Sus scrofa: one gene and its partners. The protein of the gene in region 4 interacts with the protein of the main gene of each other region in a pairwise test. Links are inferred from orthologs where the notes say so. Each region holds a gene or a part of one and is shown on either strand. Other genes may lie near its edges. The genes, in order: EGFR, RASSF1, PPL, AKT1 and ARNT.

Region 1 (4,220 bases), on a different chromosome or scaffold from region 4:
TGTCCTGGCGCAGAAAGGGGACCCTTCCTGGGCGCCGGCCTTGGGCACCCTTGACGCAGTCCGTCCCTGCTCACCTTTGAGCTTTTGTCTTGGAACCCGAAGATGTTAAAACGTCCAGGAGTGTTGCAGGAACGTGGTGAATGCCCCGTGGCCTTGGCGGTGCCCGGCAGCCGCCTCGTCGCTCGCGCTCTGTCCGGGCGTGTGTGTCCGGGTGTGTGTGTGCCTGCGTGGTGTGCGTGTTTCTGCCCCGTAGTGATTACCGCTGTCACCCTCGCCCCTCACACACTCATCAGCCTGCTTTCCTACAAACTGGACCGTCTCACCCTCATCCTGAGTTTAGCATCGACTGAGTATGATTCTGTTCTCACTTTAATTCCAAGCCTGCCGTCCCAGTGTGTCCTTTTTAGCTGCTTTTGCTGCAGAATCCAAGCCAGGGCTGCGGGGTCGCTGCTCTTGCTCACTTCTGGGCAGGGTCTCTGCCCCCATCCCCTTTCTCTCACGGGACCTGAAGTGAGGCGTCCAGGCTGGTTGAGCTTTTCCTGCAGGTGGGACCCAGGTGACGTACTGCGGGCAGAAGTGTCGACCACGTGGCCCAGCCATTTCATCCTGTCTCCATGATGATAAATTGGATCATTTCTTGGTGGTTATAAAGATGGTTTTCCATATCTGTCATTCCTTCTGCATTTATTAGCTGATATTCTTTTTCGCAATAGTTTCTAGTGGCCAGGTAAGGTCACCGGATCTTTTCTTACTCACTCTACGGTCACCCCTCTTTATCACGCTCGGTCTGTCTCCCGTGTGCCCCACCCCCCGCTGGCCCCATGTCCTCGGGGCACGTGCCGCGTCTAGATCGTGACTTCCCTCCTTGCTTCAGCTCCGTGTGTCCCGGAACTGCATTCCTGCGAGGCTGGCCCATACTTTATCTAGCCAGCCTCCCTCAGGATGGTCATTTACACTGCGTCCACGCTTCCGCTGTTGTAAAAACACCTCTGTGACTAGCTGTTTGCCTTGAACACCCACTTGAGATGAACTTTCCCTAAAAAGTGTCTGCGGTTTAGTCGATGCTCTTACCTGTCACTCGCCGAATCCGTCCAGCCCCTCTAGGTCTGTGCTGTTACCCCCCATCTTACAGATGAGGCCCTGAGTCACAGAGAATCGAGAAGACCTGCCCGGGGCGACAGCCAGGACGGGCAGAGTCAAGCTGTGACGCCTCAGTCCCAGGCCAGACCCATGAGCCGGGCTGTGGCCTCCTGGTCTAGGGACACCTGTGTGGCAGGTGGGCCTGTGCCTGGAGGGAGGAGCATCCTTTGGTGGCCGGAGACCTCTGGGCAGAGGGCACGTGGAAGGAGGACAATACGAATGGGAGTAAAAGAGCTGAGCAGGGAGAGAGGGTTCCTAGCAGCATCCTCACGTGGATCGGTAAAATCAGACATCGTTTTGGTTTTGTTCTGTTAACTTCGTGTTCATTTCTCCTGCAGTCATTATGCTCCATTTTCTACCCTCCCTGGTTCTCATCCTGGAGAGAGCAGTGGCCGACTCAGATCCCGTGGAGTGAGGGCAGTGCCACTGCATTGGGGGGGGGCAGGAAGACAGGCAGGACAGGGGTGTGTGTTGAGAGTCCACAGCTTCTGCAGATCTGATAGGTCCAGGGCGACTGTGTGATTTATCTCCAGATTTAGGGATTACGGTAACCCTGCCACTGTCACCGTCAGACGTGAGCAGAGAGGGAGAGTGAATATTCTCCCAAATGCGTGGCATTCTCTTCCACAGCTGTGGCTAAACAGCGCTTGTGTTGCTGAAGCCTCCTTGCTGTTGATAGGGAAACCCTTGGAACCCCAAATCTGTTGCATTCCAAAGCCGCCAAGTGTTAGATGCAGCACGGGGCGGGCCTGGGGGTGGCTGATGGGATGGGGCCCACAGCCAGGTTGCAACCCAGGGTCTCCTTGCAAGTGGCAGGAGATGGAGCAGCAGGACGTGACCGCGTCCCTGGGAAGTTGGGTGGTGGGGGGCTCATCCTGAATGAAGAAATTTTCAGTGATTGCCGTTCAAAGGGGGATAAAATCTGAAAGAGAGCTAACAACTGCACTGAAGGTAAAGCCAAAGCAGATGAACGTGCTGTGGATGACAGTGGCACTTGGGATGGAAATTCAGGGGCGGATAGAAATTAGCGCATGGGCTCAGAGTGTGGAAACAGCGTCGGGAATGGTGCCGCAGCGGGACACAGACCAGAGCACACAGTTTCTGTGGCGCCAGTAAACACTGTGGAATAAAAGCTGTGTTTCTGATGAGCGTTACCACAGTATTATTCCTCATGACGTGACATCACACAGCCATGAAAATCCATGTTGTGAATGGTTCTAATGATGGGACAAATGTTCACAGCCCAGTAAGTGAACACGACAAGCCAGCCCCACATCTAGTGTGACATAACCATGGGGGAGAACTAGAAGGAAAGTTCTCAAAATGTCAAAGGTACATAGTAGAATTGCTGGTCATTTTGTTCCTCTCCATTCTGTGTTTTCACATTTTCTTAAACAAATGCTTCTTACTCTTTTAATAAAACCCAGTCTGCATACTGTCTCCGTTAGAAGGCCGGGCGTCACCCCGGGTGAGGGCAAGGGCACTGCTGCGGCTTTAGCGGGGGCGCCAGCCAAGGGCCAGCACAGTGCAGCATCCGCCCCGTGGGGCCGCCGTCTGGAGAGGAAGCGGGGCCCTTAGGAGCACCTGACCTCTGGCCCAAGTGGGAAAGTGAGGAGGAGAAGGCAGGTCTGGTGAGGGCACTCCCGTCAGGACCGCAGCCCAAGCCCCGGTCCGGTCCCAGTCCCAGTGCTGGAACCCAGCAGCCCAGCAGTGTCAGCGGAGCGAACGCGGGACCGCGGGGCGGCCATGGTCCCACGGCTGTGCCCTGCCGCCTCCTCCCTGCCTTGGGAGCCCTCGGTCGTCTTCATTTCACAAATGTGAAGGGAACAATCGCCTCCCTTGTCTTTACAGTTTGTAACGGGATAGGGATTGGCGAGTTTAAAGACACACTTTCCATAAATGCTACGAATATCAAGCACTTCAGGAACTGCACCTCGATCAGCGGAGATCTTCATATCCTGCCGGTAGCATTTAGGGGGTGAGTACAGCTGACGTCAGGACCTTCTGGAGAAAAGCGGGATCCGCTTGGCTCCCTGCAGGCCCTTATGGATCCTCTGTGGCCTGTTTCAGTGACTCCTTCACACGCACGCCGCCTCTGGACCCCAAGGAACTGGACATCCTGAAAACCGTGAAGGAAATAACAGGTGTGCCGCTAACCTGCCGTCTTAGCACACGTGGGAGGCAGGTGTTTTACAGGGAGAACTTTTAGGCGATTTTCTCTTCCCTTGCCATTAGCGAGTAATTCATTCTTTGATATTTTTCAAAACCGCGGCTCCCCGTGCTCTCAGGAGGCAAACTCTCTAAGCAGAGTCGAGTCACCTGGGACTCGGTGTGACGTGCGAGGTCTCAGCGCCCAGCCCAGGTGGCCGGTCAACAGCCCGGGATGGAGGGCGGAGGGCCAGGCACTGAGCTGCTGCGGGCTCCCAGCCCAGAGACACGTGTCCTGTCCTGCCCCAACACCGGCCTTGGGCCCGGGGCCCGGCAGCTCCACTTTCTTCATCCCTAAAAAAGGTGTAACTGGACTTTATAACAGGATTGGCTTGAGAATTGGAACCAGATAGAGATTTCACGTCAGTCTCCTTGTGGCGCTAAAGCTCAGAACTGGCCCCTGCCTTAGAGAGCAGCGGCCTGTTTGGGGTCTCAAGAGGGGAGCTCCCACCGTGGGTACAGCCTGCGGGGCGAGTCGGGCTCTAGCCCAGGGCAGCAGGGGGCTTGTTGTAAAGGGTGCCTGGTGCGTGTGGCTCTGTGTGTGTGTGTGTGTGTGTGTGTGTGTGTGTGTCTGCAAGTGCTTAGTGAGGAGGATGAGGAGAACAAAACATTCGCCGTCTGCTCCTGGACAGCCTCCCGAGAATCCTGTGACAGTGTTTCTTAGGAAAAGGGAATTGCTAAATGGCCTGCATCTTTCTCCTGCCTTACAGGGTTTTTACTGATTCAGGCCTGGCCTGAAAACAGGACTGGCCTCCATGCTTTTGAGAACCTGGAAATCATACGTGGCAGGACGAAGCAACAGTAAGTAGATCTCAGCTGGTAGGTTCTTTCTTACTTTATTTTGAAATAAAGCTCACAGCGAGTTTCCCCAG
Region 2 (4,075 bases), on a different chromosome or scaffold from region 4:
GAAGGCTGCCCACACACCTCCAGCAGATTGGAGCCTGGCCTAAAGCCACCTTTTGTGTGGCTTGTGTCAAGATCAAATGGCATGTCACAGTGGTTTCCTCACTATGTCAGATATACAGGGCTGGCCCCAAGTCCCCCACCAGGGGGTGTTAATTGTTAACATTGTAGAGGTTGCTGTTCCCCTTCTGCCCACTGGCGGCCGAGCTCCTGGTATGCACCAGTCCCTACACCTCTCACTGTATAGAGGGTCTTGGTCAGGGCAGAGTAGCAAAGTGGATTGCCTTCTCCAGGACACGCCCTGACCCCACCCAACTAGGGTGCTGAGATAAGCTGTCCATCCTCAGAATCCCCATCCTTTTCCTAGCCCCTAGCCTCATTCATGCCTTCAGTTACCTTGGTTTCCAGGTATTCTTAGGGCCTTACCCAGTGCTAAGGTGGCTCCAGGCAGGAAGTAATAGGTTATTCTCATCAAGGCTCAAACTTTTCTTTGCTTTTTGGCCACTCCCACATCCTGTGAAAGTTCCGCGGCCAGGGATTGAATCCACAACACAGCTGTGACCCAAGCTACTACAGTAACAATGCCAGGTCTTTAACCCACTGAGCCACCAGGGAACTCCAGACCTCAAGCTTTGTTGTCACTTTCTATAGGCCACTTTTCATAGTGGTCCATCCAGGGCTCACTTCCTTTGCCTGTGACACATTACAGAGGAATGGGTTCCTTAAGAATCCTGTGTCCACACCTTCCCATCTTTCAGGATGAGCCCGTGGAGTGGGAGACACCTGACCTTTCTCAGGCTGAGATTGAGCAGAAGATCAAGGAGTACAACAGCCAGATCAACAGCAACCTGTTCATGAGCCTTGTGAGTTGACATCCTGTTTTGGAGAGGGGCAGGAACCCAGCTGTGTGCCTGATGCCCAAGGATCACAGCTGAGGTTTTCTTGGGTAGGCCCAAGCAGTGATTTATTCATACCCAGCCTAGCCCCAAGTGGGCTGGTAGCATCCAAATCTGTTCCATCTCACTTGGCACCTAGTCATGGTTTGCTTTTTCTTCTTCAGAACAAAGACGGCTCCTATACAGGCTTCATCAAGGTTCAGCTGAAGCTGGTGCGTCCTGTATCCGTTCCCTCCAGCAAGAAGCCACCCTCCTTGCAGGATGCCCGGCGGGGCCCAGGGCGGGGCACAGCTGTGAAACGCCGTACCTCCTTCTACCTGCCTAAGGATGCTGTCAAGCACCTGCATGTGTTGTCACGCACCCGGGCACGTGAAGTCATCGAGGCCCTGCTGCGCAAGTTCTTGGTGGTAGATGATCCCCGCAAGTTTGCGCTCTTTGAGCGGGCTGAGCGCCATGGCCAAGGTGGGCTTCCCACTCCACCCCACCCCATCATGTCTGAAAGTAAATGTGCTTGTGCATGCAGCAGCTGAGGGGACTGGGCCTGACTAATCAAACACTCCCGTCCCCCTGCCTGGTCCTCAGTGTACCTCCGGAAGCTATCAGATGATGAGCAGCCCCTTCGGCTCCGGCTCCTCGCAGGGCCCAGTGAGAAGGCCCTAAGCTTTGTCCTGAAAGAAAATGACTCTGGGGAGGTGAACGTGAGTATACAGCCATCCTTAGTTTCTTGGTTGTCACTGGGCAGGACTGGTGAGTTGCAGCTACAGTAGCCCTGCAAGACCTCTCCCAAGAGTATTTGAAACTTGTAGCTAAAGTGACACTCATGCCAAGGTCTAGGGCCTAACTCAAGAAGCCAGGAAGAAATGTCTTTGTGCTCTGCTCTTTCCCATTGTGGAAAGCCCTCCGGTGATGCAGGAGTCCCATTCTACAGTGTGGTGGTCAGATCAAAGTCACACAGATGGGCACAGGATGACATGGAGGCACCCCCTTCAGGCATTAGAACTTTTTACCTGGAATCTTTCTAGCTCCAAGGTAGTACACAGGCAGAGTGAGATTTAACTCAGAGAGAGTGGGTATGATTATCCACAGGTAACTGGGGAACATTTGGCTTGGCTGCCTGTCCACGAGGTGACCGCCCTACTTTGTGGGGCCCATCTTGTATGTGGATTGTCGTTGGAAATCCTAGCAGAGGCCATCAGGCAAGAAGCCGACTTTAGAAAGCCCCATCCCAGCTGTGTGATCATGATGCTCTGGTCTTTTCTGGGGAGGGCTTGCTGGCTTGTTGGTGTGTGCTGCAGCCTGTGTCTCCCCCCCTCTACAGTGGGATGCTTTCAGCATGCCTGAACTACACAACTTCCTACGCATCCTGCAGCGGGAAGAAGAGGAACACCTCCGCCAGATCCTGAAGAAGTACTCCTATTGCCGCCAGAAGATCCAGGAAGCCCTGCATGCCTGCCCCCTGGGGTGACCTCTTGTACCCCTGGGGTGACCTCTTGTACCCCTGGGTGGAAGGAGGAGAGTAGGCAGCGCCAAGGGCGTGCCGTGTGAGTGTGCGAAGGCCCATGTGGCCTGAGGAATGAATGTGCATGGAGGCCCTCTCTTGCTGGGGGAATGAGCCCAGAGAACAGCGAAGGAGCTGGTCCCCTGTGTCCACAAGTGGGTGTAACAGAGCATGGCTCTGCACCCTTCTGCCCTTCATGTACTGGGTCATGGTGGGCCAGGGTTGCCCTGGGAAGCTGCTCCAGGGTTGCCAATGGGGCTGGAGCAGACAGAAGTCTACTTAATTTGTATCTTAGATACAAGAATCTTTGAGATCCTACAAACAAATAATAGGGTCATGTTTGCAGGGATGAGGGCCCTCATCTATGGTGAAAGATTGTGTTTTAAGTCTTGGATAGGGTCTCAGGACAGCCCTGTCACAACCAAGGATGGATATTCTAGGCATCAAGGAAGTCTAGGATTCTCTCTGTAGCACCCTCTGACTCCTCAGACACTCTGGGGTCAGGTAGTGCTAGCTCATGGTGCAGCAATGGTGCCTCAGTGCCTCCTCCAAGGAGGATGTCCCTGGGTCAGGGTTTGTGTGTGGGCACTGGCCCACCTCTGTGCCTTGTTTGCCAGTCAAAGCCAGGGTCTTTCCCTTGAGTATTTTTGATGATGTGTGCGAATGTATGTAATATTTTGTGACCTCAGCTCACTGCCTCCTGTTGGGAAAGGGGTCGGGGTGAAGGGCATCAGGGCCTGGGGCTTGAGAGAATTGGCTGAATAAAGATTTAAGCATTCTGCTTTTGGATTCTTTTACGGGCCCTCATCTGCAGTTGCCCCTCATGCCAGTGGCTGCCAAGATTGACAGACAGCCTCATAAAGCACCTTTTCCACGGGGACCATGAGACCAATTTGTGAAGGTTGTGCGATATGGATATGTACTTGGTCATTAGTCAACACCTGGGAGCTCAGGGCATGGTAGAGGCAAGAACATCAGCTGTGGCCGGAGCTTAGGGAAACCACACACTTCGCCAAATATTCAGACACTGGTGTGGAGCAGACACTGCTTATGGGACCGAAGGTACAGATGTTAACCTTCATGAAGCATGGTTTTTGGTGGGTTTAGAAAGAACACGATTTGAAGTTCTTCAGTCCTGAATGTAGCCATACAACCACTGGCCAATTCTCCTTAAGTTCGGTATTTTCTCCGCATGCCACGGTGGGAATAGCAAACAGCGTGGGAATACAATGAGGCCAGAGAGGCACTTCCCAGCCTGGCCTGAAGTCAGGCCCTAAAGTGCTGGTTTGAGAGGACCTGGTGGTTGGACGGGTCCGCTGAGCCTGACTTCTAGGGGTTGTGGACGTTTACGCCGCCACACACATCGAAGAAGCCAGGAGCACACCGCCACAGGTTTCTTGTGTGGGAGCGGCCCCAGGTGGAGGGAGCGTGGCCTGCTGGGAACTGACGTCTCGCAGTGCATGCTAGGATGCCTAGCATCGGAGGACGGCTATTGGCCCTGCTCCGCGGATCGACGAGAGAAGCAACCAATTAGAGGGGGCAAGGTAAAGAGCATTCGGAAGCGGAAGTGAGGTTTCCGTGGAGACAGCGGAGCCTGAAGGTGGTGGTGGCGGCGGCGGCGGCGGCGGCGGCGGCACCTGCGAGCGGAGGCTGAGGCAGGGCATGGCGGTGCTGTCGGCCCTCTA
Region 3 (4,220 bases), on a different chromosome or scaffold from region 4:
AAATACTGTTTAGCAGTGATTTTGTTTATCCTGCGTTACTTTCTCTGTATTGTTTTCCTTTAGCATAGATTCCCTCAGTTTCTGCTTCAACAGTTAGGAACCCTTTTCTGTATTCGATGCCTAATACTGTCGTGTTTCCCCAAAGGGCTGTGCCAACTGCTGGCAGTGCCTGAGGAGCCCCCCAGGCCCAGCCCCGGGACACCTCCTTCCAGCCGGGCTGCTTTGCACTCCCCGCAGGGCTATCACATCTCACCTTGACAGCTTGCTGGTACTCCTGGGAGTGGGTGGAGACTTTCTGTACTTCCTGTTCCCTTCTTGCTATCTCATCTAGCAGGTTCTGGAACACAACAGAGACTTTAAAAATAAAAAATTAGGAGTTCCTGTGCATTCAGCAGGTTAAGGATCCGGTGTGGTCGCTGCTGTGGCCAGGATTTGATCCCCGCCCCAGGAACTCTTCTGCGTACCATGGTTGTGGCCAAAAAAAAAAAATCAAAAATTTAAAAAGAAAAAACATCGATAGAGTAGGAGTCTTAGAATCTTGGAAATTTTTCCTTTTTCTTTTTAGGGCTACACCCGTGGCATAGGGAGGTTCCCAGGCTAGGGGTTGAGTTGGAGCTGCAGCTGCCGGCTTACACCACAGCCACAGCAACACCAGATCCAAGCCTTATCTGCAACCTTTGCTGCACCTCGTGGCAATGCTGGATCCTTAACCCAATGAGCGAGCGAGGCCGGGGATCAAACCCGCATCCTCATGGATACTGGTTGGGTTCATAGCCCACCAAGCCACAATGGGAACTCCTGGAGTTATTTTTCTGTGGCACAAAGTGTAACGAATGGTTCCTTGTTTACATTTGTTTGTTACAAAAGGCAGCTCCAAGTCCCTTTGAAGAAGAGCCAGGGACAGCTATCTTTGCCAGGAAAGCAGTGTTTAGTGAGTGCGTTACAATCTCAGCTACGGTTCTAGAGTCTGTCTTAGCTTCTCTCACTGAACCCCCACATCCTGGGAGGAAGCACCCTCCTCATCCCGTTTCTGGATGAGGAAACCAACAACAGTGTGGGTGAGAGCGAGATTTGAGCCTAGGTGGGTGGGTCTCTTGTCGTTCCTCTGCCCAAGGCTCTGCTTCCTCCTGGGGAGCCAGGACTCTGGGCTGTGGACATGCGTTTTTCCCCATGACGGCTCCTCTTGTGCTTCTGTGGCCATTTGCTTATTTCGCCGGCCTGCACGGAGTGTCCACTCTGAGCCAGGCCCAGTGCAGGGAGGGCACTGAGGTGAGGGAGACACCGGCTTTGTTCTCAGAGACTTGTGCTGGGAACCCACCCTGCCAGGACCTCACCTGGGCCTCATCCGCCAAGAGGCTTGCTGACCTCTGACCCCCCTGCCCGTGAACTTAGAGGCAGCTGTCTTACCTTCTGGTTGTTCAGCTTGGTCTCCATCTGGCCAAGGCTGTCCATCTCCTGGGGCTCGTAGCTGGGGATGTGGGACAGGAACTGGAGCAGATGGTCACGGCCACTGCGGAAGGCATCGTGAGCAGCCTGGGCGCTCTGCAGGCTCTGGGCCCTGTGGGGCAAAGCCGGTCAGACCTCTGCACAGAGAGCCAATGCCTACTGAGGGCTGCCTGCCGTCCCTTCTGAAAGAACTCCCCAAATGGTTTATCTGGAAATAACGTAAACGCTCACCAGGAAGGGAGGGGTCAGGTGAATTACGGAAGGTGGGGCTGGAATACTGCACGGGGCTGCCCACTGTGGATCTAGGACCTAAACAGCTCGTGGATCCAAGCAGAAATCAGAAGGGAGGTGAGGAAATCTTTTGAACTCACCAAGAATAAAGAAATCCGTGGGACGCCGTGAAAGCAGTGCTCAGTGGGAAATATGTAGTTTTAAATGCTTAGATTAGAAAAGTAAAGCTCTGAAATCAACAGTCTAAGCAGAAGCTTAGGATGAAAGACAGCAGATTGAAGCTAATGTTAAGCAGCAGGACCAAATAATAATGAGCAGATGTCAATGAAATAGGAAGTAAGAAACAACTCAGAAGGATCCCCCAAACCAAAGCTGATTCTTTGAAAAAGTCAACAGATTGATTCACGTCAGGCAGAATGGCTAGGGGAAAAAAGAAAACACAGAAAAGAAGACACGACGTCAGGAGAGAGAGGACATCCCCCAGATATGCAGACATTGAAGGATAAGAGGATATTCTGAACAATTTCGTACCACTAAAGTCCACAACTGGAGAGGGACAGTGTGTCCCTGAAAGACACATACCTCTGAAGACAACTCAAGAATTAAGTGAGTCAGATAGTTCATCATCTATTAAAGAGGTGGAATTTGTAGTTAAAAAACCTTACACAGAAAAGAATAAGCTGCGGGCCCAGATGGCAGTGACTGGTGGGTGAATTCTACCAAGCGTTTAAGACCCTGACAGCCATTCGACACGGCCTCTTCCAGAAGAGAAGCACCAGCAGGAACACTGACTCCTGAGGCTGGCAAAACAGGACAGGGAAGACAGCAAGGGACACTGGGTGGCATGTTGTCATTCAAATGATATATCTACCTGCTCCTGATCTCAAAATAGTGTTGGAAGGATAGGAACAGACTGTCAGCAGAGCTGATCTTAAGGGGAAGGTTGGCTGTACAATCACCTTGTGTTTGTCACTTTGTATATGTACTGCTTATTTTCAAAAAGAGGTATTCAGAAAACAAACCACTTTTGGAGGCATCCACAGAAATGCCACATTGGTGCCTTAAGGCAGACTAGCTAAGCCAAGGCTGTCACCCCCCTACGGCCCCGCACCTGAGCTCAACCTGCTGGCGGAGGTTGTCGAAGCGCTGGCCCAGCTTGTGCACCTCCGCCTCCTGGCGCTCCAGGTCCGGGCAGTGCTCCTGGAAGCGGCTGGCCAGCGAGCTGGAGCACTGCCTGGCTGCCTGCAGGTTCTGCTCCACCTCGCCGAGGAGGGCTTTCCGGGCCTGCAGCTCAGAGGCCAGGGCCTGTCAGGGCAGAGAGGCAGATAGTAGGTGCTGTGGCCAGAACTCCAGGGCCCAGAGCTGCCCGCTTCGCGGGTGGTAAGCCTGGGCCTTGGCAGGAGCCGGGGATTTGACTCTTCGTTCCTCCTCAAACCTGTGGTCGTTTCTGAAATTCCCTTTTTGTTACAATGGACAACACCCTAGAAAAACTAACTTCTAAAACCCTGTGGCCCGCTGTGCTTATCTGTGACGCCAGGCCGGGAACAGCCTGGGCTGAGGCTCTGCTCTCCGAGCCCACTCCTGGGTTCTGAGGTGAGGCGCTCAGCACAAAGCCAAGGGTTCGGTGAGCCGGCGTGTGAACATGAGGCTCCCACGGGCTCAGGCCCCGGAGCTCAGAGCAGCCCAGTGGCAAATGTGAAGAGGGCACAGGCTCCTCTGCTCAGCACACCTGCTTTGTGGGCCCAGGGCCAGATCTGCTCTTCGAGAGATACTGGGAATTTGGGGTTGCGCGGTACGTGGATATTTGATTTTAAGGTACCACCCGATGTCTGCAGACCCCGTGTGCGGCTGGAACTTCAAACCTGCAGAGACTTCCCTGCCCTGGGCCTCGGGCCTTCAACTGTCCGCAAGGGAGGGGTTGGGAGAGGCGGGCACCTGGAGCCCACGACCAGCTCAGATGGGTCCCCACGCTCACCGCCAGCTCCTGCCTCTTGCTGTCCAGGGCATGGCCACACTCCGGCACCGTGTCCTCTTGGGCCAGCAGGTTCTCGTACGTGGCCAGCTCCTCCCAGCCCTGCTGCAGGCTCTTCTCCAGGCGGTTGGCCGTGTCGACCCTGAGGATGCGAGTCAGGAGTTGGAGGGGGAGCCAGGCCCTTGGCCCCGCTGCCTGGCCTCCCTGCCGCCCACCGTGCTCACTTCTCCTGGGCCGCAGCCAGCAGCTGCACCAGGCGCTCGTATCTGCGCTGGGTGTCCTCCACCCGTGTCCTCAGCAGGGCTGCGCTGCTGCTGCTGGGCTGGGCCCGCACGAACGCCTCGCCCTCTGCTGTGCTGCGCACCTTCTCGGGCTCGATCCGCAGCAGCTCGTTGGTGATGTTCTGTGGGGACCAGAGCCCCTGGCGTTGGTCACAGCTGGCAGCTCCCCTCCCCCAGGACCTCCTCCCCCAGGACCCTCTCCCCGGGCAGCCTGGCTGGGGGTCTGGGGCGCCGGCCTAGGAGCTCAGATGCAGTGGCCGGGGCCTCATGGGTGGTGAAAACATCCAGCA
Region 4 (3,568 bases):
CATGCTCCTTGCAGCCGCCCCACCCCAAGGCCTTATGGTCAGAATCAGCTGCCGCGGAGCCTGGGGAGACAGGCAGCTCTGCCCCCTCCCCCAGGCCCGGGCGCCAGGTCCGGCAAACGTCGTGCCCTGTGACGGTCCCCGCGTCCTGGCCACACCTGCGAGGTTGAGTCCACCAGGGACAGGAAGAGCAGCAGGCTCGTGCTGGGCAGCTGGTTCCTCTCCGCGCCCACCAGGTGGCGCCCGCGGCACGTCCTGCCCTCCCGTGCCGCCAGACTCGGCGCGGGTCCTAGGGCGGGGCACCTGGGTAACGCCTTCCCCCCCGCAGGTTGCTTTTTCGCACCTCCTCAGGTCCCAGGGCCTGGCGGTGGCCCTGTCTCGACCTTGGCCAGCTCTGGGCCCTTCAGGGTCCCGGTCCTTCCCCGTGACCAGGATCTGCTGGATGGACAGGGCTGGTGCGCAGGTGGCCGTGCAGTCTGGGTGGCCTTCTCGGGGCGTGGGACTGGGGCGAAGCCACCGAGTCCTGCCAGAGCTGCGTGGGGGACACCTATCCTCGTAGGCTGCCCTCGGGACCGCGAGGCAGGAGGGACAGGGCCCTCCACACCAGTGGGCCGGCCACCTAACTAAACAAGCCACGGAGTTGAAAAGCAAGTTTTATTGAGGAATTTGGAGGGAAAGTCTCATAATAGTAAAAATACTAAAGTTGAATATAAAAAACCGCCGTGGTGCAGCGTAGCGTCTGGCCGGAGGGCGGAGCGATGGCCCCTGCAAAGGGCGTGGGGCGGGGCCGCGGCGACAGCGGGAGGGTGAAGCTTCTATGAGGACAATTGCTAACCAGGGGAGCCATCGGATGGGATGGTCCCAACGGGCAGGGGCAGAGGGGGGCTTCCTTCTGAGATGAAGCCCCCAGGACGCGCGTGAACAGAGCAGGATCTCGCCCGGCCCAGCCCCACGCAGGGGCCGCCCGCCTCCAGCCCCGGCCAGGCCCCGGCCGGCGCTCCTGGCCCGGCTTGCTTCCGGGCCGAGTCGGTGCGGCCGGGAGCGCGGGCGAGGCCCACCCGGCCCGAGAGCGCGCGGCGCGTGGCCGCGCCTGGAGAACCGGATGAATAAATTAGGAAAAACTGCAGGGCGTTTTCCTCCCGGCCCGGCTGGAGGCTGGGGAGGCGGCCCGGGGCCGGGCGGGCAGCCCCCGCCACAGCCGCCACAGCGCGAGCCGCGCATCCCTGGTGGGAGGAGCAGCCCGGTGCGGCCCAAACGCGTCCAGAAACAAAACCCATTAAATACAGGAGGTCCGAGCGCGGCTTCCCGCCTCCCTTCGAAGCCGTCGTCCGGAGAGCGCGCCCGGCTGGCCGCCTCAGGCCGTGCCGCTGGCCGAGTAGGAGAACTGGGGGAAGTGAGGCCTCCGCTCGCTGTCCACGCCCTCCATGCTGTCGTCTGCGGGCACGCGCGGGGCGGCTCAGAGCCCGGGCACCAGCGAGACCCCAGCGCCCGGCAGGCTCGCCTCCTCGCCCCGCGAGGCCCTCCTGCCGCGGCCGCCACCCCCCAAAGGCAGCCTTCCCGAGGGCCGCTGGACGGCCGGCCTCCCACCGAGGGCAGCGCCGAGGGATGGTGCGCGCGCGCGCCCGGGGGAGCGGAGGGGAAGGCGCGGCCCTCACCTTGGTCGGGCGGCGTGATGGTGATCATCTGCGCCGTGAACTCCTCGTCGAAATACCTGGTGTCCGTCTCGGACGTGACCTGAGGCTTGAACGGTGGGCTGAGCTGCGGAAAGGGGGGCTGGGTTACAGACCCGGACCCGCCCGGACCACGGCCCCCAGGGAGCTGTGCCCCTGGCTTGGGAAATGACTCCTGTCTCCCAGGGGACGGTGTCCAGGCAGCCGTCCCCACCCACAGGCAGAGTTCTGGAAGGAGACCTGCACAGGAGGGGACCCACCTAGGGCCTAGGTGGGTGCCCCTCAACCAAGAGCCCGCAAGCAGTGTCACGGCGCCCCTGCAGGTGATAGGAGGCAGTGCAGCCCAGCTCCGAGGACCCCACCCCCGGGGCAGAAGGGGCCCTGGCCACTTTTCTTTCTCCAGCGCTCCTATTTTCCTTTCCGGGTGTCTCAGAAACCGCCGGCAGGCCCAGGCTGCAGAGGCTAATGCCAGACAAGGGGAGGGCAGGGCTCGGGGGCCCACTGCCACCCGGGAGGGGGCCCCGGAGCAGCCGGCCACTGCCCCCTGCCCAGGGCCTGTGCCAACCCCACCAGGTGCCCTGGGGAGGGAGGGGGATGCGATGCCCAAGCCCCGCCCAGGAGATGTGGATGGGGCCCCGCCCTCCCCTGCCCGCTTCCCCTCGGGGGGCCTGGTCCTTCAGGGGTCCACCGGAGGGAGTCTGGTGCCTCACTCGCAGCTCCCGGGTAGCAGAGTGGCCCTGAGCGTGGCCACAGGCAGGACTCCCAACGACGCGGAATGAGAGGCCAAGTGTAAGGGGCCAGGCTGGGGGGAGAAGCAAGCGCCCCACCCCACCCCCACCAGGGCCCTGGCCTGGGGGTGGGGCTGCCCTGGGAACTAGCAGGGACCAACAGGGTGGGCACTGCAGCCCCCAGAGGGCAGGCCCCTGGCCTGGAGCTGAGCAGGGTGGGGCACCCATCTCTCAGGGGCTAGAGGCCCAGCCGGCTGCGTGTGGCCTGCAGGCGAGGGAGACTGGAAATGGGGGCGAGGTGTGCTTGTGACAGGACGTCAACGAGCCCGGGGACATCCCCCTCCTGCCCCCAGCCTGCTGGGCCAGGGCCTGGGGCTCCCGAGTCCCTCAGAGGCAACGGGCAGAGGCACATGTTTAGGAAGAAGCTGCCTCGCTCCTCAGGGGCCTCCTCACGTGTGGGTGAGCAGGTGTGTGTGTGCAGGTGTGTGAGCAGGTGTGAGCCTGTGTGTGTGCAGGTGTAGGGTGTGTGAGACCAGGTGTGCCAGCAGGGGTGGGGGTGGGAGCAGGTGTGTGAGTGGATGTGCGTGTAAGCGTGTGTGTGCAGGTGTGCCACCGTGTGGGGGTGGAGGTGAGAGCCTGAGTAAGGGTGTGGCTGGGGGGGGCCGGCCCACAGGCCCCCACGCACCTTCTTCTCATACACATCCTGCCACACGATGCTGGCGAAGAAACGGTGCTGCATGATCTCCTTGGCATCCTCAGAGCCCCCGCCGAGCCTGGGGGAGACGAGGCCATGGTGACGGGGGCTGCCTCCTGCCCGGCCCAGAGCTCGGCCCTTCCCCCACGAGGTCTCGGGCAGCGGGGGACAGGCAGCCTCCCTGGGGCCCCCGGGGCTGAGCCCGCGGCTGGAGGGGGCGCCCACCGCTGCTTGGGGTCCTTCTTGAGCAGCCCTGAGAGCAGGGACTTGGCCTCGGGGCTGAGCGTGCGCGGGAAGCGGATCTCCTCCATGAGGATGAGCTCGAAGAGCTTCTCGTGGTCCTGGTTGTAGAAGGGCAGGCGGCCGCACATCATCTCGTACATGACCACGCCCAGTCCCCACCAGTCCACCGCCCGGCCGTAGTCGTTGTCCTCCAGCACCTGGGGACATGGGCGCGGGCTCGTGGGGCGCTCAGGCCG
Region 5 (4,220 bases), on a different chromosome or scaffold from region 4:
GGATACTAGTCCGGTTTGTTACTGCTGAGCCACGGTGGGAACTCTTGCTTGGGGCTTTTTTTTTAATCAGCAAAATAGTAACCATGAATTCTATCCTACAGAACAGTTGTAGGAAATGCGATGACAGACCCAAAGTACTTATCATAATGTGTGGCATAGAAAGAATTCAGTTAGTTTCCTTATCACTTTATTCTGTTACAACCCATGTGGGTCTTGAGAGTTAAATTTTACCTAAACGAAGCTTGGATTTAAAAGTTTAACTCCTCTGACCAGAAATGAGATGATCAGCTCTTAATTCTTCCTACAGCAAATTACAATCCTCCAGACACTCACCTCATACGGCAAATAAACGATCTCCTTGAGCCCATACACATCCTCATGGAAGACTGCTGACCTTCCTTTTTCACTGTTCCAGTCTTCAGATCAAGGATACGCCCTGAAGAAGGATGTGAAGAGCAGTCTGGAATGCATTCTTGTGTGTGGGGAAAAGGGGGAGAGATACTGGAAGCAAAGATACATAGCCTATTCATGCTCTCCAATCTCCTTGCTTACGACGGAATAAGCCAAGTAGGAGATGTATTTTTTTTTTCCCAAGCCTAAAGCACCTTGATTCCCATCAATGAATCTTACTACTCAGTTCAAAGGCAGCACTGGAAATAACCTTGTGAAAGGGAAGACAGGAGTGGAAGTAGGTAGAGTTGGCAAGCAAGATTATATATTCTTAGGTCTGATTAATGTTGTACACATGCATTCATATGCACATGCACACAAACATGAAATGAGTATCACTGGTTTAAAACAATTTTAGGAGTTCCCATCATGGCTCAGTGGGTAACAAACCTGACTAGCATCCACAAAGACGTGGGTTCAATCCTTGGCCTCACTCAGTGGGTTAAAGATCCGGCATTGCTGTGAGCTGTGGTGTAGGCTGGTGGCTACAGCTCCCATTCACCCCCTGGCCTGGGAACCTCCACATGCCACAGGTGCGACCCTAAAAAGATCAATAAATAAATAGATAAAAACAATTTTATATGTTATAGAAACAGCCACCTGTCTCATGCTAAAAGTGTTCCTCCCTTTATTATATAGAAACCAACGAGAACTTTTGGGGAAAAAGAAGAACTAGAAAAATGAAATCCATAAAAACATAAATGAAGGGAAAGTTAAATATCAACATTAATATGACCATTCCAAATGAGACAGGTTGGGGGGTGAAGGGATGCTCTGAGGATTTGGGATGGAAATGCTGTAAAATTTGGTTGTGATGATTGTTGTACACCCATAAATGTAATAAAATTCATTAAGTAATTTTTTAAAAAATTAATATGACCATAATGGATTTAATTGATTGTTTAATTTGCTTCCACATTAAAATTTTTTCCAGATTGCTTGGGAGCAGATGTGACTTTTTTCCTTTAGCCAAACTCTGGCAAAAGGACTGAATAACACTAAATTGGGGGAGGGGCAAACAGGGTTGGGACAAAGACAAAACAGAAAAATAGCACAGATAGCAAAAAAACAAAAAAAACAAAAAACAAAAAACCCTTATACACTGACTGAAAACCACTTCCCTCTAAAACGAAAATCTATTACCACAGAACCTGGTACAAAGCCAAGCATAAGTGGGTAAAAAAAAAATACTAGGCAAGTACCTACACAAATGATACAGAAACATGGATAATTTAACTCTTTTATAATGAGGGGGCATCGTAGGTTTGGCTTTTACTGTGTAATTATACTAATATTAAGATTAAACTTTATATGAGCATTGTCATTAATGCACATTTTCTAAGGATGAGCTACAAAACATATTACCTGCATATGGATAAAAGAACAATTACATTCATTAATGGAGAAAATTCTATAAGCTTTGCCAGATTCAATAAAAAAATTTAGAGTTAAAAACACGTCTTCTGTCTCAGAAAAAAAGAAGAAAGGACTTCCCATTCATTTTCCATCCACATAACTCATACCTGTCAGGGCGTTTTCCGAAGTGGAAAGCTGCTCACGAAGTTTGTCCACATCATCTGGGTGCACCTGATCGTAAAGCGTGCTACCAAACCATTCAGACTGTGGCTGGTTCAAAACAGGGGTCACTGAGTCGGAGACATACACCACCCGGCCTGTTTCACATGAGACAATAAACAGAAAGCCATCTGCTGCCTCCAAGATCAAATGTTTCAGTTCCTGTCCAAAGAAGAGAAATACAACTCAATACTGAAGTCAGAAAAAACCAAAAATGGAAAGAAGTAAGACACTTAAAGCCATATGTATCTCTCCATAAGCAAATGCTGGCTTCTGTCTGATCCACAGGCACAGCTTTGCACCCTAAATGTAATCACCTTAACTGACAAGATAGTTTTTTCCAACAGATATTTCCTCAGTGTGTCTACGTCACCAGCCACCTCCTCCTCAGAACTCAAGATGGGAGGAGTTCCCGATGTGGCACAATGGGATCAACAGCATCTCTGCAGCATCAGGACACATATTCCCTGGCCCTGCACAGCGGGTTAGAGGATCCAGTGTTGCTACAGCTGCAGTGTAGGCAATTAGCAACTGTGGCTCAGGAACCTGGCTGAGGAACTCCATATGACTCGGGAAAGCCAAAAACAAAACCACCACCAAAAAACCCTGAGAACTCAAGATAGGGAATAAAAAGGCTTACCACTAACAATAACTGAGTTCTTAAACTCACCCTCTCTCGTCTCTTTTTAGGATCTTGCTCTACGAATATTCCCATTTCTCTCTCTTTCCCCTGGTATCTTAAACATGATCAAGTTTTCTCAATTTTAGACACATCATCCCTCAACTTTGCCCAACTCAACTTTCAGGGCCAAGCTTAAACTAAGAATAATGTTACACTCACTGGCTCTACTTAATCTTTCATTTATTTCTCCATCCCACTGTCATCCTCTCTAAGCTACAACATTCATGTTTTTTTCAGGTTACTAACATCTTCCTAACTGACAACTCAAGCCCTCTTTCCTGGGCTCTATACCAATCTTGCTACAGAATCTGATAGTGTTGTTCATTTTAGCCTTTAAAATTTATTTCTCCTTAGCTTCTAAGACACCACACTCCAACTTTTATTTCCTTTCCAAATGTCCCTTCTCTGCTTCAGGCTCTCTTTCCTTTGTTTAAGTCTCAAGTGTAGGCATTTCCAAGGTTCTATCTTAAGTTCTCTTCTCTATTTAATACATACTTTCTCCCTGAGAAATCATCTCTACTTCTCCACTATGAAACAATACCCAAGTCTACATCTCTAAACTTGCCTAAAATCTATTAAGGATTTCCAAATAGATATTCTATCAGAAATTCAATTTTAACATCTCATTATCTTCCCCTCCAAAAAGTATCCCCTTTCTCTAAGGCTATAGGCCTCAAAAATGTAACTACTCTCTCTTACACTCCAGAGATAATTCAGTTTTAACAATTCTATTTTCAAATACAGTGTCACTGCCCAAGTCATCTCATGCTAAAACTAATGGTCTCCCTGTTTTCACTCTCTCCAATCCATCCTTAAAATGCTACCATATTTTTTTATAGTTTTCCATTGACTAAAAATTAAAATGTGAATTATTTAACATAACACCTAAATATTCCATCAAGTCCCAGTCAACCTTCCTATTATTATCTTCCAAGACATGCTAAACTCCCTGATTTTCCTTGAATAACCCAATCATCACCAATCTCACTATGCTTTTGATCAAATTATTTCCAATACTGCAACACTATTCTATTTTTTGCTTTCCATATTTGCACTTCTATAGGACTTATTACTGTACCTCTACTACAGAACTGATTCTGTTTATATTATGATTTACTTATTTATATGTCTGTTTTTACCAGTGACTATCTCTTACAATTCTTTTAAATTTCTCATAGCACGAAGCACACAAAAGTTACATAACTGGAGTTGTTGAATCAATATCTGTATGTATTCTGTTAGAACAAATTGATTAGCTATCTACCTATCTACATATATATACATCTAAAATCTGTGCTACATGTGCTTTCATAAAGACCATCCTATTTGGAAAATTCTTATTGTTTTCTTCCAAACCACATTCCTTCCTCTAATCCTCTAAATAAAAGGGTGGCATTACAGGTCAATATTTTTCCTCCTTATATTTCCTATGTTTTCCAAATTTTTCTGCCATCACCAAGTGCTTTTTTAGGGCCATGCCCAAGGCATACGAAGGTTCCCAGGCTAGGGGTCT

Evidence for each region.
Region 1: the proteins of AKT1 (region 4) and EGFR interact in a protein complementation assay, tested with the Homo sapiens proteins (3 studies listed by BioGRID and IntAct, with this or other methods). The link is inferred for Sus scrofa from reciprocal best matches to the Homo sapiens genes AKT1 and EGFR.
Region 2: the proteins of AKT1 (region 4) and RASSF1 interact in a protein complementation assay, tested with the Homo sapiens proteins (2 studies listed by BioGRID and IntAct, with this or other methods). The link is inferred for Sus scrofa from reciprocal best matches to the Homo sapiens genes AKT1 and RASSF1.
Region 3: the proteins of AKT1 (region 4) and PPL interact in a two-hybrid assay, tested with the Homo sapiens proteins (2 studies listed by BioGRID and IntAct). The link is inferred for Sus scrofa from reciprocal best matches to the Homo sapiens genes AKT1 and PPL.
Region 5: the proteins of AKT1 (region 4) and ARNT interact in a protein complementation assay, tested with the Homo sapiens proteins (2 studies listed by BioGRID and IntAct, with this or other methods). The link is inferred for Sus scrofa from reciprocal best matches to the Homo sapiens genes AKT1 and ARNT.

Annotation. Positions count from the first base shown.
Region 1 is NC_010451.4:139,431,113-139,435,332, forward strand, and holds part of EGFR (epidermal growth factor receptor precursor), read left to right. Parts: intron 1-2,991; coding exon 2,992-3,118; intron 3,119-3,210; coding exon 3,211-3,284; intron 3,285-4,058; coding exon 4,059-4,149; intron 4,150-4,220. UniProt on the Homo sapiens protein: Receptor tyrosine kinase binding ligands of the EGF family and activating several signaling cascades to convert extracellular cues into appropriate cellular responses.
Region 2 is NC_010455.5:32,815,250-32,819,324, reverse strand, and holds the end of RASSF1 (ras association domain-containing protein 1), read left to right. Parts: exon of another isoform or gene 1-709; coding exon of another isoform or gene 710-754; coding exon 755-859; intron 860-1,056; coding exon 1,057-1,354; intron 1,355-1,474; coding exon 1,475-1,590; intron 1,591-2,210; coding exon 2,211-2,357; 3' UTR 2,358-3,169; downstream 3,170-4,075. UniProt on the Homo sapiens protein: Potential tumor suppressor. Required for death receptor-dependent apoptosis. Mediates activation of STK3/MST2 and STK4/MST1 during Fas-induced apoptosis by preventing their dephosphorylation.
Region 3 is NC_010445.4:37,501,802-37,506,021, reverse strand, and holds part of PPL (periplakin), read right to left. Parts: intron 4,053-4,220; coding exon 3,874-4,052; intron 3,792-3,873; coding exon 3,653-3,791; intron 2,983-3,652; coding exon 2,789-2,982; intron 1,559-2,788; coding exon 1,408-1,558; intron 338-1,407; coding exon 254-337; intron 1-253. UniProt on the Homo sapiens protein: Component of the cornified envelope of keratinocytes. May link the cornified envelope to desmosomes and intermediate filaments. May act as a localization signal in PKB/AKT-mediated signaling.
Region 4 is NW_018084979.1:3,039,643-3,043,210, forward strand, and holds the end of AKT1 (RAC-alpha serine/threonine-protein kinase), read right to left. Parts: intron 3,530-3,568; coding exon 3,315-3,529; intron 3,169-3,314; coding exon 3,081-3,168; intron 1,756-3,080; coding exon 1,653-1,755; intron 1,432-1,652; coding exon 1,352-1,431; 3' UTR 635-1,351; downstream 1-634. UniProt on the Homo sapiens protein: AKT1 is one of 3 closely related serine/threonine-protein kinases (AKT1, AKT2 and AKT3) called the AKT kinase, and which regulate many processes including metabolism, proliferation, cell survival, growth and angiogenesis.
Region 5 is NC_010446.5:98,367,487-98,371,706, reverse strand, and holds part of ARNT (aryl hydrocarbon receptor nuclear translocator), read right to left. Parts: intron 2,188-4,220; coding exon 1,974-2,187; intron 437-1,973; coding exon 334-436; intron 1-333. UniProt on the Homo sapiens protein: Required for activity of the AHR. Upon ligand binding, AHR translocates into the nucleus, where it heterodimerizes with ARNT and induces transcription by binding to xenobiotic response elements (XRE).